Mus musculus: one gene and its partners. The protein of the gene in region 1 purifies or fractionates together with the protein of each later gene. This does not show direct contact. Links are inferred from orthologs where the notes say so. Each region holds a gene or a part of one and is shown in the gene's direction. Other genes may lie near its edges.

What was found.
Region 2: the proteins of Zmynd8 (region 1) and Csnk2a2 purify together in Homo sapiens (affinity purification with mass spectrometry; 6 studies listed by BioGRID and IntAct, counting the BioPlex papers as one, with this or other methods). This does not show direct contact. The link is inferred for Mus musculus from reciprocal best matches to the Homo sapiens genes ZMYND8 and CSNK2A2.
Region 3: the proteins of Zmynd8 (region 1) and Rbbp7 purify together in Homo sapiens (affinity purification with mass spectrometry; 3 studies listed by BioGRID and IntAct, with this or other methods). This does not show direct contact. The link is inferred for Mus musculus from reciprocal best matches to the Homo sapiens genes ZMYND8 and RBBP7.

The regions. Positions count from the first base shown.
Region 1 is NC_000068.7:165,882,106-165,887,622, reverse strand, and holds the start of Zmynd8 (protein kinase C-binding protein 1), read left to right. Parts: upstream 1-2,784; 5' UTR 2,785-3,001; coding exon 3,002-3,015; intron 3,016-3,383; exon of another isoform or gene 3,384-3,444; intron 3,445-4,229; exon of another isoform or gene 4,230-4,295; intron 4,296-5,171; exon of another isoform or gene 5,172-5,517. UniProt on the Homo sapiens protein: Chromatin reader that recognizes dual histone modifications such as histone H3.1 dimethylated at 'Lys-36' and histone H4 acetylated at 'Lys-16' (H3.1K36me2-H4K16ac) and histone H3 methylated at 'Lys-4' and histone H4 acetylated at 'Lys-14' (H3K4me1-H3K14ac).
Region 2 is NC_000074.6:95,485,566-95,491,082, reverse strand, and holds the start of Csnk2a2 (casein kinase II subunit alpha'), read left to right. Parts: upstream 1-2,262; 5' UTR 2,263-2,635; coding exon 2,636-2,739; exon of another isoform or gene 2,740-2,881; intron 2,882-2,922; exon of another isoform or gene 2,923-3,406; coding exon 3,407-3,518; intron 3,519-5,517.
Region 3 is NC_000086.7:162,765,870-162,771,286, forward strand, and holds part of Rbbp7 (histone-binding protein RBBP7), read left to right. Parts: intron 1-2,982; coding exon 2,983-3,128; intron 3,129-3,894; coding exon 3,895-4,068; intron 4,069-5,183; coding exon 5,184-5,299; intron 5,300-5,417. UniProt on the Homo sapiens protein: Core histone-binding subunit that may target chromatin remodeling factors, histone acetyltransferases and histone deacetylases to their histone substrates in a manner that is regulated by nucleosomal DNA.

The DNA.
Region 1 (5,517 bases):
CAGGCATCTGCTAGCTGTGTGACCTTGAGTGGTGCACAGTGTCACTTCTCTGGGCCCTGTTCAAGGTGTAAGCAATCCCTGCCCCGATGAACTTAGCCTCTGAGCAACCCAGATGCGGCCCCTGAGCCCAGGCTTGGAGAAGTAGCCTTGCTTCTCGCCTGTCAGCCACATTCCATTAGGCACTGGATCAGCCTTGGTTGGTAGGCGGACCTCCCGGCTTCCTCCTCCATCGGTGTTCTTCCCAGAATCCCGTCTGCAGCCTTACCTTTGTCTCTTGTCTCCAGCCCAGTTACATTTCCCAGATAACCTCAGACAAGCCTGAATGGCAGCAGCATTCCTCAAACAAAGCTGCCCCAATAGGTCACCAGCATATGCCGGCAGCTTCCTGCTCTTTGCCCTAGAAAACAGTTCAAGTGATCAGAGCCTGGGAGAGAGGGAGGGAGGGAGGGAAAAGGGAGAGGGAGAGCACGGGAGTACGTGTGTGTGTGTGTGTGTGTGTGTGTGTGTGTGTGTGTGTGTGTGTGCGCGCGCGCGCGCGCGCGCTCCCGCTTACACAACAAGCTTTAATCCATGCGCTCCCCTGCTGTGTATGTATTCTCTTTTCCAATTGGGAAGTTAGGTGTCCCCAAGACCTATCAGCAACTCCGTGTGTTGTCGCCTCCCCTCACCCCCCAAGCCATACTTCATATGGCTGATAGTAGAGTCCGAAGCCACATGAAGGGGAGGGTGCCCGGATCAGGCCTCAGGTTCCCTGTTTGGTCCCAGTAAGGTTTCCCTCCCCAGTAAGAGCCGACCCTTCCCTTTGGGTGAAGCCAGGCCTGTTGTCCTGAGTGCCTTTGTCAGGCCTAGTGGCTCTGGAGTTGTCCCCTGCTGCTATCGACCTCAGCTGGTTCAAACAAAATCCTGTCTCCTTTCCAAAGCCAGGGTTTTGTCCTGCAGTACTGTGTGTTTAGATTCCTGGCTGGGTCTGGAGCCTGAGAGCAGATTCCCCAGCCAGGGAGAGTGCACACTGGCCTGCTGGGCATCTGTTGTCCTTGGGGGGCAGGGAGAGCAAGCCATCAGCTCAGCCCTTCAATTCCTTTGAGGAAACGCCTGGGGAGGCAGGAATGAGTCCTAGTTTCAGTAGCTGAGGGGGACTTTATTGCTTTCTGGGTCCACCTCCTGGTGTCTGGCTGCATCAACTGCCGGCCCCTGAAGAAAGGTGTTTATTTAGCGTCTTTTTTTTTTTTTTAAGAATCTTGTTAATTAAGGATGTTGTTGTTTTTAAAAAAATAGCTAAGAATAGGAGAGAGCCTTGGACAGTTTTTGATTCTCCTCTGTGCCTTTTCTACAAATGACAGTTTTTAGGAAAGAATCAGGCACTGGTCTCCCACCCAGCACCATCGGGGAGAATTCTAAGCAGGTCTGAGGAACTAGTTAATATTTTACTGGGGAGCAGAGCCAGAGATGGGGGGAGTAGGGGGACTGCCAATGTGAGGCTGTGTGTGTGAAATTGCCCTTCCATCTGCCTTAGGGGACGAAAAGAAGCAGTTCTCTGTGGAAATAAATTGAAGCAAGAAGCCTTACGAAGCCCAGGGGATTTGTCTGCCCACCAAACAGGGCCCAGTTTCCCCCCAGAACACACATACAGGGGCGATTGTGGCAGAAAGGGCCAACCTGTGGGTGTGTAGGCCTGACTATAATGGACGGGCTTGTTTCCTGGCCCGGTTTGACATCTTTCTCTGTCCCTCTGGATTTAAATGGCTTCTCTGACTGAGAGGCACTGCCTGTATGCCCTGGATTCACAAGGTCCACGCCTCCTTGGGAAGCAGAAGCGAGACAGCAGCTAGCTAGCTCCCTCTCTCTCTCTCTCTGCATCTGCCCGGAGAGCTGCAGCTGGTATTTTTCCACAGGCCCTTTTCTACAATCTCAGGGCCTAGTTTTTCCCAGCGAGGCCCAGAGTCCCAGAGAGGGTTAACAGGCAGGAAGCTGAAGGCATCACAGACTAAGACGGAAGTCAGATTTTTGTTTAACTGACAGGTTTAGCAGGCCTCATCGGTGGGGGGAGGGAGCAGAGGGAGGGAAGACTTAAATGGAGGCATGTGGCCTGCTAGCAACGCATTTGGCTTTTCTTAGGGTAAGCCTGGAGAGGGTATCTCCCTTGCCATCCTGACAGAGCCCTTTTTGGTTTGTCTTTGAGGATCGGCTGAGGGGTGGCGGTGAGAGGTTAGAGGTCTCCCAGTTTTGCAAATGGCTCTGTGGGCCTGCCTTTTTTCCAAGAGCCACTTTGACCATGACTAGGCAAACTTGATCGCTCCACCTCACAGCAAGCTGCACCTCTCAGCTCCCTGGAACCTGGGTGCCCCTTGCTGATTTGTTGGGGCTCCCTCGGGCTGCCTGTCTCACTCCCCGCGCGCGCCCCCCCCCCCCGCCCCCCTCAGAGGCCTGCGTCTGGCCTTGTCCCTATTGCTTCTGCCTCCCTGGGGCTCTCTCCACCCCTAAGCTCGACTTTGTCCTTTGAGACCCACTCAAGCTGGCTTGTTCTATAAAACGGCCTGCTCGCCTTCTTAGAGAAGGACTTGTGTGTGGGGGCAGGCGTGGATGGGTCAGCCAGCCCACCCCAAAAGGGCCCTTCCCAGTGGCGCGCTGGCTTCAGGCTTTGCTGGAGCAGGTCAGGCTGGCTGCACGGGTTTGCCTGGCCTGGGGGATCGAGCCAGGGGGTGGGAGAAGTGCTTGTGGAGGCCCCTGTCCCAAGTTTTCCCTCCTGCAGAAGGCCTAGCTTAGCCTGTCTTTTTCTATGCACAGGATGGCTCTTGCTCACCCGAGCCTCACAAAGATAATCGCTCAGGAAGTGTTTCAGCCAATCGGCGGCGGCTTTACACTCCGATTGGCCGGGGCAGCCAATCGGGGATGAGCTTTTATTAGGCGGCCAGATCATCAGCCGAAGTGCCAAACCCTTTTTCTGTGAGAACTAGGAGCCTGTCCTCCATGTTTTATAAGTATTGACATTACACAGTTAACAATGCATCCACAGAGGTAAGCTCGGCTTTTTAACCATCTTTTCCCCCCTCCCTCCGAGTCATCGAGTCGTGGACTAGCAGTGTGATTTCTCTGTAGCCTGGCTCTGCCACACTTCCCCCCCCAGAGCACTTAGGGTAACTTGGGACTGTTTAGAGAGATTTTTTTTTTCCTTTTTGGGTCACATGGCTAAGTAGCCATTAGCCATAGCTTGATTTTACAGACTGGTGAGGGCTTGGAATACCTTTATTTTGACCAGGACAAAGAATTTCTGGACTAGTTTGAAGCTAGATCCTGGTATGCCAAAAGAGAAGCTATTATCCCCCCTTCTTTTATTTTATTTTTCCCTCCCTTCCTCTCCCCCCTCTCCCTCTCTCTCTGAACAGTCCTCCCCCTGCACTGTCGGCCGCTGTGTGTCACATGCCTGCTGGGGGAAGAAAATGGAAGGTAAGCCAGAAGCCAGAAGGTCTTCTCCCAGCACAGTTCAGGACTGCCTGTGGCAGAGAGCAGAGCAAGCCAGCTTGCTTCTCCAGAGCGGTTCTGGGAAAGGCTGGGCTAAGTTCTGACAAGAGAGGATGCGTGTTTGCACCAGAAGTCAGGCCTGAACAAGAACAGTACTCAGGGACCCAGGCTGGTTCCTGGGCCTAGGTGGGTGGTGGCGTGTGGACTGTCATCTCTTCCTCTCCAGAGCTTCGCACTCGCAGCAACATTGTTCAGGGTTTTTTTTTCCTCCCCCCGACTTAGCTTGGTACAGAATGTTCTTCAAGTCAGCCTACAGCCAGCAAATGGTTCTGAAAGTGTTTCCTAGCCTCTGAGGGAGTTTTTGGAGTAGGCTTGGTGCCTGGGGGGTTGGGGGTGGGTGGGGTGGGAGTGGGGATGGGGAGAGATTTTGAATAACATCCTGAAGGGGGGAAAAAAAGAGATCTGTGAAGACTCTGACTCCTTTAGTTTTATACTTCTTGCATGATTTTTCCATGGGCTAATGTCTCTTTTATCCTTGTCTCCCTCCCCCCTTTTCAAACATTCTATCATCTTCTGTCTTCTGTGATACAGTGCAGGGGACATGGCTCATACATACCTGAGGCTCATGACAGCATCCCATATCCAGTTGCTGGGTTGTGTTGTTGTGGTTGTTGTAGTGGTGGTGGTGGTGGTGGTGGTGTGTGTTTTTAATAATACCATGTAACTGTTTACCAAAAAAAAAAAAAAATTTCCTTTTTGATCAAGTCCCAAATCTGCCAGCCTGTCCTCTCCTCCTAACTGGGGAAAAGTGAGACGGTTGCTTGAACGTGTGTTGGGTAAGTAAACCTGCCTCCTCTGCGAACGTGGATCAAGAGTTTGGTGAACCTCTGGGGTCTGTGGTAATGGGGGTGGGGAGAGGGTGGCTTCCAGAGAGTGTCTTTGAGTTTAGGTGATGGCTGGAATCCACTGTTGTTCCTGCTAATCTGCAGTTAGGGCTGCAGCTCTCACTTCCTGCTTACTCTCCGCTGGGGGCAGGAATTACTGGGTTCCTTGTGACTCGCAGCTAGACCTTGGATTGTGCTTGGCTCTTCTGAACTCTGGGTAGGTGATCTGCTTGTGAAATGTGAAATGTGAGCAAAGCTGTTTTGTCCTTCCAGGGTTCCAGAGCCCCCCCCCCCCACACACACACAGGGCATGTGCCTGCATGTGCGCCTTGTGTTTTCATATGTAAGTTTTATGGTGTTTACATCTAGAACAGAAGCCTAGCCACTCCCAAACTAGGTTTGGCTTAGAACCCACTGACCACTAGATACAGCCTTCACCTCCCTGAAAGTCTGGGCCACACACCCCTGTACATGTTGGCTTTGCATTTGCCCTACTTTTGAGGCTGCAGCTAGAATCTTAAAGTCCTCACCTTCAGGGTCCACCTGGAAACTCACCACATCTAGTTCCTGCTTTGAGACCCAGTCAGGCTGCATGGAAGGGCTGTCTCTGAGCAGTGGTTATCCTAGGCCAACGGCACAGACTCTTGACTTTTTTTCTTCTAGTGTTCAGGCAGCTGAAGCTTTGACATCAGTTGAAAAAGGTTCACTTAGTAAAGAGAGACGGACTAAATTATCAACTGGGCAGTCTGTGTGGGGCAGGCCGGTGTCGCCGAGTCAAACACAGGTGGGGTATAATGTTCTTTAAGCAGTGCCTTAGCCGCACACAAGTTCTGTTACTCTCTTTATTCTTATCTCCTTGCTGTAAGTGGAAATTACAAACTGAGTTTCTTGAGGCCTCTGCAGATCCAGTGGCTAGTCACCAACCTCCTGGTTTGCCTCTCTCAGCCTTTGCGTAACTTCTTGGGCTGAAAGGAAACTTGAGGGCAAAGCGTTTGTCCTCTAAGAGCACGCATTAAAATGGCTCCTACAGGTTTGGGAAGCCAGGATCTGTTTGTGAGTGTGAACCTCAGCCAATTTCCCAGCCCTGACTCAAGCTGGCTGCTTTTCCTCGTGGCCACCACAGTGCCTGGGGTTGGTAAAAAGTTAATTGCTTTCGAAGTAGCATTCTTTTCCA
Region 2 (5,517 bases), on another chromosome or scaffold:
GCCAGGGCTACACAGAGAAACCCTGTCTGGGAAAAACAAAAACATTGGTAATATATAATATACACCCCATATTAAAATTACCCCAGAGATAAGTGTATTCCTCTCTCTCTCTCTCTCTCTCTCTCTCACACACACACACACACACACACACACATACACACACAGTTCCTGCTTTTGCTTTTTTGTTGTCTTTTGTTTTTGAAATAGAGTCTACATAACCCACACTGGCCTGAAGCACATTACAGAATCTAGGCTATGCTGCTGCCTTAGCCTCCCAACTGCTAGGCTAACAGTCATGGACTACCCCACCTGGCCTGACCCATTTATTTATTTTGGATATTCTTTGCTGCTTTTGAATGATAAGGGCAGTAGAAATAGTGTGTCTGTCTCTCTAGGCTTCTGAATGGTTTGTTTTATTTTTTATTTTGGACAGGTCTCACTCCATAGTCCAGATAGACAGGCATCAAACTCATGCTGATCTGCCTGTCTTAACCTCCCAAGTACCAGGGTTACCAAAATGCACTACCACACCTGACTGCATCCCCCCACAAAAAAGTAAACAAACAAAACAAGATCTTACTATGTAGCTCAGGCTGGCCTTGAACCCACAGTCTACTCCTCAGGTAGGATTACAGTGTGCAGCCTCAGGGGTCGCTCTCAGTCTCCTTTACTCTAGAGCAGCACCTCAAGTTTTGTTTTGGCTGTGACACTGTTATTTTTTAGCAGTGTGAACTAGATTTTTTTGCTGAACTGTCCCTCAGTTTGGCCGTGTCTGGTTGGATGCAGGTTGAGCTTTTTTGACAGCAATGTGATGAGTGGTGTGTCCTTTCTCTGTGCGTCACACAGAAAGTCAGCTGGTCCATGCATAATATGACCTTCAGGGTCCCCTTTGTAACCAGCATGGTAACCGTGGGCCAAGAGCACTGTGTTGACTGAAGGCCTCCTGCCCGGCAGACACTGAGTGACCTGGTGGTGATCACCCAGCCCTAGTCATGCCTTCACATTGTTTTCACAGGGAGGGGACAGATGGCAAACCAGGAGAGGACTCATGCCAAGCTGTAGTTTTACGAAGGGCATGGAGGAGTCGCTGAGAGAAGTATCAACTTCAGAGAAAGTGGCCTCTAAGGTGAGATTTGAAAAAGAAAGCCAGTCATTTGTGGGGTGGCAGCGGTACCCCGTGGCCAAGCTCAGAGAGAAGAAGAAACTGAAAGACGGGCATGCGCTATTCTCAGGGAAGGAAAGGTGTAGAGTTTAACAACAGCGGGAACATGTAGTGTTTTAATATGGAGCAGTCCTTAGTCTCTGTACAGCTCTGTGAAGTCGGTGCTGGGTTGATGCTACAAAATCTGTAGCACGGAGACGTTGAGTCATTGGTTCAAATCTGCATTCCTTGCAAACTATGGAACCGGGACTTGAACCTCGATAGTTCGGTATGTGAAGAAAGAGGAAACGTGGCCTCATCTAGAAAACAGTGTGTGGGGGGGAGGGAGAGGGGGAGTTTAGAGTCAGAGCAACCTGGGCTGGAAGAAGAGATCCTTGTTGTTAAAGAATATGAACAGGAAAACAAGATAGCCGGGGACCCCAGGACATCAATGAGAGAGAAGACTGTTCAAGAAGTCCTCACTCCCCAGCTCTCCCTCCTCCCAAACAAACAAACAAACAAAATGGATATTTACATTCTCAAAGTATGATCCACAAATTACAGGTTCAATACAAAGGGGGAAAAACCCAGTTAACTTTATGGGGAAACTATCTGGTGGGCTCTGGTTTAAGCAAGTGGCCCAAAGGATGGCTCAGTGGGCTCTCAGGGAGGAATCTGGATGGGGAATTGGGAGGCGAGGGTAGCTTTAGGACTAGTTTGGTTTTCCTCTTGAAGGAAGGGATCTGTGGATGGCAGGGTGGGGTCCAGAGTGGGAAGAGGAGTGAGGAAGGGGGACAGTTTGAGGGGAGGGTTCTTGGGTTTCAAAGAAAGTCAGCTCAGGGCCAATATGGGAGGTCGTGGTGGGTGGACACGAGGTGACTGGACAGTGGAACTATGCTAAGCGCGGCGGCAGTCAAAGGTAGAGACTTCTGGGGGGTGGCCTGCAGTTGGGCAGGCAGCCGGCCACATTGCTTGGAGGGTGGCGAGCTCGCTGAGGGGGCGGGCGCCGGCCATAGTCCCCCCGCACTGTAGGGGGCGCTGTGGGCCGGGGCGGGCCGGGGCTGGGCGGCGGCCGCTCCTGGCGAGTGCGGCCCCTTTTCCGGGTTTCCTCCGCCTCCTCCTCCTCCCTCTTCGCCGCCGCCGCCGCTGCCGCTGCCCCTCTCCCGACCGGTGGCTGCCGCTGCCGCCACCACCGCCTCTGGGGGGCCGCGAGCCGAGCGGAGGCCTCCGCGGAGCACGAACCCCGCCGTCCCTCCGGCAGCCGAAGGCCCCGGGCCGGCTCGGCCGGCGCCTTCCGCGCCCCCCGGCCCGAGCGTCCGTCCGTCCGCCCGCCCCCGCGGGCCCGGCCTGGCGCGGACGCCCGCCGCCGCCGCCGCGCTCCTCCTCTTGCTTGGGCAGCCCGCGGCCCGCCGCTTCCCGTGCCTGCCGCCCCGCGCCCCGCGCCGCGCCGCCGCCGCCCTCGGCGCCCCGCGGCGCCCCCCGGTCCCGCCCGCCATGCCCGGCCCGGCCGCGGGCAGTCGGGCCCGGGTCTACGCCGAGGTGAACAGCCTGAGGAGCCGCGAGTACTGGGACTACGAAGCCCACGTCCCGAGCTGGGGGTAAAGCCGCCGCCGGCCGCCCCACGCGCGAACCGCACCCGCCGGCCGCTCGGCCTCGGGGCTGGCAGGGAGGCCCGGCCCCGGCCGCACGTGTCCCCGGCCTCTCCTGTCCGCCCTGCCTCGGTCCCCGGCTCAGCCGCCGGTGGGGAGAAGCGTGGGGTCGGGGGTGGGGGCGGCCCTTCCTCCTCAGACTTTGGGCTTCCTATGGGTTGGGAAGTCCATGGCTGTCCTCTTGAGCTGTTGAAATCTCTACCTCTTTACTTTCTGAAATGAGGCTGGGTGGGAGGGTCATTTTGAAGAGGGGCAGATTGTCTAGAGCGGGCAGTGCCCCCTGGAAGGTGTGAAATGGGAGGCAGGTGCCGTGGAGCCACGGGCAGGGCACCCCAGTACCACCAGGGGGGATGCTTCCCTTAGTCCCCTTAATGGCTCCTGAGGCCTTGTAGCTGCCCATTCCTCTTCTTGTTAAGAGTCAGTTAGGTTAGGAGCTCTGCAGAGTGAAGGGAGCCAAGCTTCTGTGTGGCTCTCATTTAAGAGAATGAGTTGCTGTGTGATGGTAGGAATACTTCCGAATGCTTGATTAGTTGGAGATGGCGGATGGATGTGTGGTGGACAGAGGCTTGCTTAATCCCAAATCCTGGCATTTATGTATATCTCTTGCCTTTCACAGTAATCAAGATGATTACCAACTGGTTCGAAAACTTGGTCGGGGCAAGTATAGTGAAGTATTTGAGGCCATTAACATCACCAACAATGAGAGGGTGGTTGTAAAAATTCTCAAGGTGAGTGGCCAACGGTGGCATGTAACCTTTCCCCCCACAGGGCAAAAGAACCAGCTATCCCAGAATAAGCATCTCCTACAGGACTCCTACCATGCTTTTCCTTGTGAACTTTTGAGAAAATGTGCGGGCTGGTCTTAATTCTGAGTTTGGTAGGTCAGGAACATTTAAAGTGTGAATTCTGAACTTCTCAAACAAAGCTTGTGAGGGGGGACTGTATCTGATATGGAATAAAGAGGTATTCGCAAGAGAGGAAGGAGTTTGCATGGAGAATCTGTCAACTGTAGGGATTCTAAATCTGTACTCGTTACTCTCTGCTCCCAGTTACTCCAGAAAAAGTCCGGAAAACCCAAAACAAAACAAAACTGGAGTCTGCTCAGAGATAAGTTTAAAGCCAAAAATTCAGGACAATTCCCTCAGTTGATATTTTCATTTCATGTAGCAGTAAAGTTTCAGGTGGGCTGGATATAGCAAGCCAGCCGCTAAGAGATCTGGGGCAACAGAAGAGTACATTCTAGCCCCTGAAATAATAACTGGAACAAAACTTGTCTCTGTGGCAAGACTAGCCCTCTCGCTTTGATAATGATAGGGCTTTTGTTATCACTCAAATGAAGACATGATCTTAATGAGCATGAAGAGTCAGCCAAGTTTCTGTACAGGTGATTGAAGATTCAATAGTGCTTTGTAGGTTGTTCGAGAGGGTGGTTCGTAGGACCTGAGCGGTTCTTCATGGTTGTCAAGTCATTTAAATGCATATGCTTGTCACCTTAGGATCTGGGCAGTTTTTCATGTTGTCAGATCACTTAACATGTATGTGTGTCACTAGTGAAAGAGCACTGGAGAGTGGTAGTGTTTCACCAGATTTTCACAGTGCCCAGTGAACAAAAATGCAGGATTGAAAAGCTTGTGCCTTAGGGCAGTTCTTATTTAATTGTGTAGATTTTAGCGTTGTGTGAATCACCTTTCAAAAAAAATGGCTGCTGCTAATGCTCCTTACCATCCTGGCCTAGTGATGAAGGAGCAGAGTTGCTGCAGAGATGGGTGATGCTATTGCTGCTGCCCAAGACACTGGGGTGAGAAGGAAGGAATGATGGCAGATAGGGAGCTTGGCCCCGCTAAGTATGAGTTGTACATTGGAGGTCTGTAGTTATGGGAGGGGTGTGTTTTAAGCAGAGAAATGTTTCCTTCAGGGAACTTGCTGGAGGAAACCATGCAATTTCATTACTTACATAAACCTGTTTTGAATAGAAGTTACTTCAGACATTTTCATTTTAAGGATAAGCAAAAACAAGCATAGTTGGGAATATCCATGTTCTGTTGCTGCACATTTGGAGGATTGAATTTGCCAAGTCTAAAGCAATTTCAGGGAAATGTCTAAATGTCTGTGCAGTAGCATTTTGGGACTAAGTGCTGTTTGCTGTGGAGTGTTTGGAAGGGAACAGTGCTCAGGTGTGTGTAAGCCCCAGTGTGTTTAAGGAAACATAGGGTTAGTAGTTTCCCATGGTTCTTGTGAGGAACTTCAGAGATGAGTTGCTTGATAGTTTTTCCTCTGCTCTAAAGATCCAATGCATATATTTACCACATCCAGTACGGAAGCGGCTTTAAATTATTTTTACAGATAGCAGACCTAGGCACAAAGAAATGTACCTGACATCATTGTTCTGTTGAAATGGACCTTCACCAGAGCTCTTCCTTCCTACTTCTTCATTCCTCTGAGTGTTCATTTCAGCCTGGGCTGTAGGATCTTAGCACTGAGCACAGGTTCAAGTTCAAGCATGAGATTTGGGAGACCCGCTCGATGCTCTAGTTCCTGACGTGTTTGGTTTTTCTCAGAGGGCAGTCTGAACCACCTCATACTCCTTTGTCAAACCACTGTGTAGGCATTTCTGTGTAGCTTTTCTTTATATTTGAAGGGTAGAGTAAGAAATCACTAATATTGTGGTTTTGCTTTTATAATGGATTGGAAGTATTTTTCAAAAAGAACAGAGGCTATACCAAAATT
Region 3 (5,417 bases), on another chromosome or scaffold:
GAACATGAATCCTCCTACCTCAGCTTTTGAGTAGCTCTGATAACAACACTATATCACCAGACCTGGACTCCTTAGGTGTTTGTTTGTTTGATACCAACTGACCTCTACCTTTCAGTTCCTGGGATTTATTTTTTATGATAGCAAGTTGTTGATTTACCTTTTTCTTTTTAAAGTACTCTTTTATTTTTTATGAGTACACTGTAGCTGTCTTCAGATACCAGAAGAGGGCATCAGACCCTATTACAAATAGTTGGAAGCCACTATTTATTGCTGGGAATTGAACTCAGGACCTCTGGTTGACTTAACTTAATAAAAGTGTATTGGAAAGCCAATTGTGGTGGCACATAACTTTAATTAATCTCAGTACTTGGGAGACAGAGACAGCAGGACCTGGTCTACATACAAAGTTCTAGGGCAGCCAGGGTTGCATAGGCCCCATCTCTCAAAACAAAAAGAATATATTGGAGACTTTACTATTCAATATGCTGACACACACCCATTCTTTATGAAGATGCCACACAATTCTACTTACGAATACAGTTTATGTCACTATTAACTTGTTTGTTGATGGGTATTTATTTAGGTTGTTTTTGGTCCTTTGCTGCTATAAACAGTGCTACTGGAAATAGTCTTGTAATACAGCATATTTTTGTGATTGTTGGGTCAATTTCTTAGTATTGCAAGGATTTTGGTACTAAAGCTAGATAGGATCTTTATAAACTTGAGATAGGGTCTATCTCACTGTGTAGCTTTGCCTGACCTGAAGCTTATTGTGTAGACCAGGGATGAGGTCTGCTCTTAGAGATCCACCACCTGCCTCAACCTCAGAGTACTGAAATTAAAGGTGTGTACCACCATGCGTAGCATAGATGTTTTGTCATTGGTACCTTTGAGTGTGTCCAATATTGAGAAAAATAATGAGTTCAGGAAAGCAGGTTGTTGGGGGCTGGAGAGATGGCTTAGCGGTTAAGAGCACTGACTTCTCTTCCGAAGGCCCTGAGTTTAAATCCCAGCAACCATGTGGTGGCTCACAACCATCTGTAATGAGATTTGACGCCCTCTACTGGTGTGTCTTAAGATGGCTACAGTGTACTTACATATAAATAATAAATTTTTTTTTAAAGGAAAGTAGGTTGTTTCTGTTGACCAGTCTGGCCTCAAAGTTAGAGATCCACCTACCTCTGCCTCCCAAGTGCTGGAGGTTAAAGGTGTGTACCACCATGATCTGAAGTAGGTTTGATCTAATGAAGGACTTATTAGTAAAACATAAAAATAAATCTTTATGTGAGAGAAACAAGTCATGTGAAACTGGAATATTTGAATTTGAATCAAATTTTTAAGATTTCCCCCAGTTTAGCTGGAACAATACTTCTTCCAAAGGTCATAGATGATAGATAAACTGTCTATCTGACTGCTTTTATTATATATACTTAATGGTCTTCATTTTCCTGCATAGCTCCACTAAAAAATAACCTTTTGTTTCTCCTCCATAACAGGTCTCTTTTGAGATATATTTAAGATCCCTATAAAGGTTTTAGTTTGTCCATGTTCTAAATTACATTATTGAAGGCCTTTCCCCGTCTCTAACACTAGAAATTGAACCCAGGATTTCACGCATGAGAGTTGAATGCTATACTACTACCAAGCTATATTCCCAACTCACTCTCTTTTTTTTTTTTTGAGTCAGGGCCTCTGCTTAGTTGTGCACACTGGCTGTGAACCTGAACTCACTGCATGGTTTTGGCAGGCCTTAGTTTGTGATCTTCTTGCTTTCGCAGCCTGAATAATTAAGATTATAGATGTAGGACACCCAGCAAAAGCCTAAAATTTCCACAATAACTTTTCTGAGTAAAAATAAATATACATATGCCTGCCCTCACCCAAAGCCATATTTTTGGCTTACTATGTATGCATCAACCAATAGCTACCCTCCTCTCTAAACTTCGTATTGCTTAGTAACTCCTACCTATTTTCAGGAGTTGTGTGTTGTTTTACCATAAGCCAAATTTTAATTTGATAGCACTTAATTTTGTAAGTTATTACTAAAGGACATGCATGGACATAATTTCCAACTCTTGGTTGTTATTTTTAAACGTTACTGCTTCCTTTGTACAGGAGAAATTTAGGAACAAACAGATATGTGACCTAACTTGTCTGGTTTTGGGACTTCTTTGTGGGACAGTGGGGCGCAGTTGAAATTCTTCTGGATAAGACAATGGGAAAGCATTGTTGATACTTAATAGCAGTGCAAAAATTGCTGTTTGGTCGATGGTGGCAAAAGACACTGGCAAGTTCTTCAGCCTGAAAGTGAATCTCCATAGAGTAAGGTGACAGAAACACTTGAGAATGTGCATTGCATAGGTATCATAAACAAAAAGAAATGATTTTATATCATGCCATTTCACTTAACCTATTTTTCAGGTGAAGAGAATGAGACTGGAGAGAGGTTGTACATACAGCTATTTTTATAGGTTGCATATATAGCTAGATTTAGTTTGAACCAGTATATAAACCCCCCTTTTTTCCCTTACCACTTCACTCATTCTGTTTTATCTCATTGGGAAAACAGAAACATCTAGCATAATAAACATCAGCTATAGGCTAAATGTACAATTTGAGAAGTCTAGAGTATTGGATCAGTGATGAACTTCTATGTAGATAGATGTTGGTATGTTTGGTGAGTTGAATCTACTGTCCTTAATGCTGTTCTAAGAAAGGTAGCATTCACAATGATAATTGAAGGCAAGGAAGATGACTCTCCAGGCAGGAAAGAAAAACTAAACTCTTCAAATAGAATGTTTTCTTACATTTGAAAGTATGGGGATAATAAAGTTGGTAATTAGATGGGAAGCAGGGTTTTGTTGGTGTTCTCTATATATTTGCTGAAGAAATGTTCATGCTAATTTTGAGGGAACCAGACTAAATTTGTTAGCAGCTGAAAATTGTATAGGATTAGTTTCACTTTTTTTTTCTCCTAAACAGACCAGAAGGAAAGGATTATGCCCTTCATTGGCTAGTGCTGGGCACTCATACATCTGATGAGCAGAACCATCTGGTGGTTGCTCGAGTTCATATTCCCAATGATGATGCACAGTTTGATGCTTCCCACTGTGACAGTGACAAGGGAGGTGGGTATACTACATATTTCAACATTAACGTCAAAGGGAGGAGTCATCTTAGCATGTAGATTAAAATTTGTAGTCAGCTTTTGGCTTAGCCATGTAACTTTTATTTGGTTTTTTTTTTTTTTTGGGTGGGGGTCGACACAGGGTTTCTCTGTGTAGCTCCGGCTATCTATCCTGGAACTCACTCTGTAGACTAGGCTGACCTTGAACTCAAATCTGTCTGCCTTTGCCACCCAAGTGCTGGGATTAAAGGTATGCGACACCACTGCCTGGCTTTTGTTCTTTGTTGGTTTTTTTGGGGGGGGGGTAACTTAAAAGAAGTAGTCACACATATGTGTTGAGGTTTTTTCACAGTAACATATACAGTACCAAGAAATTAGGATCAGTGTAGCAAAATAAGAGGGTCATGGGACATTGATTAAGTACATTATAGTGTGTTTAAAATATTACTCTGCAACTAAGAATGAAAAGAAAAACTGGTATGTAAGGTGAGATTTTTATAAATAATCAGATCTTAACTAGAAAGGCCAGTTTTTAAATTTTTTTATATCCAAGGTAGAACCAACTGTATTAACATGAGGTAGCAATCCATATAATGCAGATGGGCTTTGAGATCAATTTCATATAGCAGATAACTTGTATTTTGGAGATTTTCTTTTTCTCCACTATCTGTTTTCTATTCGGACTGTAAATTTGGTTGAGTTGATTGAGTTAAATGACTTGTGAGTAATAATCCTGAATGTATATGTTTTATGTCTCCTCACATTAGAATTCGGTGGCTTTGGTTCTGTAACAGGGAAAATTGAATGTGAAATTAAAATTAACCATGAAGGAGAAGTGAATCGTGCTCGTTATATGCCACAGAATCCTCACATCATTGCCACAAAAACACCATCTTCTGATGTTTTGGTTTTTGACTATACAAAACACCCTGCAAAACCAGGTATGTAATAATAAAGCCAGGCCAGTACACATCTTTGTTGATTGGAGACGATAATATTTTAAAAATAAAGTACTGTACTGTGTAGGCTGGAGAGATGGCTCAACAGCAGTTAGAAACTCTGGCTGCTCTTCAGAGGATGTGCATTCAATTCCCAGCACCCACATGGCAGTTATTTTATAACTTTCAAAGTGAGGAATCTCATAACCACCTGCAAGTTTGGTGATTTGCTAGAACCTGATAGCAGATTATACTTGCAGGTGTGGATCCAGGGCAAAAGCAGAAGAAAAAAAGATGAATCAGGTAGATCGGGGACCCAGACAGGCTTCTGAGTATTTCCTTTCTGGGATCAAACAGGACATGCTTTTTCTGTAGCAGAAAAGTACAGGAATTTTTGCTAAGTGACTGTCCAGAGGAGCCTGTTTGAGGCCCAAGGTCTGGGGCTTCTAAGGTAAATTTGGTTACAGGCTCTGTGTACACTCATGGTAATGAAAACCAGCAGCTTCAACAATGAAGTTAGATGAATACTTGATAAACTGTACTACAAGTTGCTGCAGCATGTTTTCACTGCTCTGAGCATGTCACATTCTGAAAGGTTGGCCAAAGGTCATTCATGGTTTCAAGATACCCTGGGTATGCAAGGACTAAATGAGTAACCAGACATGTTAGATATATTTCTAAAAATTGCCTTGGGATGAGAATGATGGGGTAGCTACTACACAGATGGAATAGCTGTACTTGTCAACATTTCTGTAATAGTGATAATACTGTTGTTTTTTTTCCCCAAAACCAGTCAAAGCACTTGTGGGTTATATGTACTCTTGGTTGGTTGGTTTGTTTGTTTGTTTGTTTGAGACAGGGTTTCTTCTCTGTGTAGCCCTGGCTATACTGGAAGTAGCTCAGTAGACCAGGCTGGCCTTGAACTCAGAAATCCACCTGCCTCTAGCCTCCCAAGTGCTGGAATTAAAGGAGTGTGCCACCACGCCCAGCAGATGAAGTCTTTGTTCTTGTAGAATTGCTCTTTTGGTTCACTCAATGAAAGGAATTTGAAGCTTGGCTCTTTACAATTCTGATAAACAGGTAACTTAGTGGTCAATGTGTTTCTTTTTTCTTCTTAGATCCAAGTGGAGAATGTAATCCTGATCTTAGATTAAGAGGTCACCAAAAGGAAGGCTATGGTCTTTCCTGGAATTCTAATCTGAGTGGGCATCTCCTGAGTGCATCTGATGACCATGTAAGAGCCGAGTTTTTCTTAATCTGTTGTATGTTATTCGTGAAAGTCCTAAATCTAAGCTATAGGATCTCTGCATAGATTGAAATTTTTTTTAAAAGATAACATCATACATAGATTG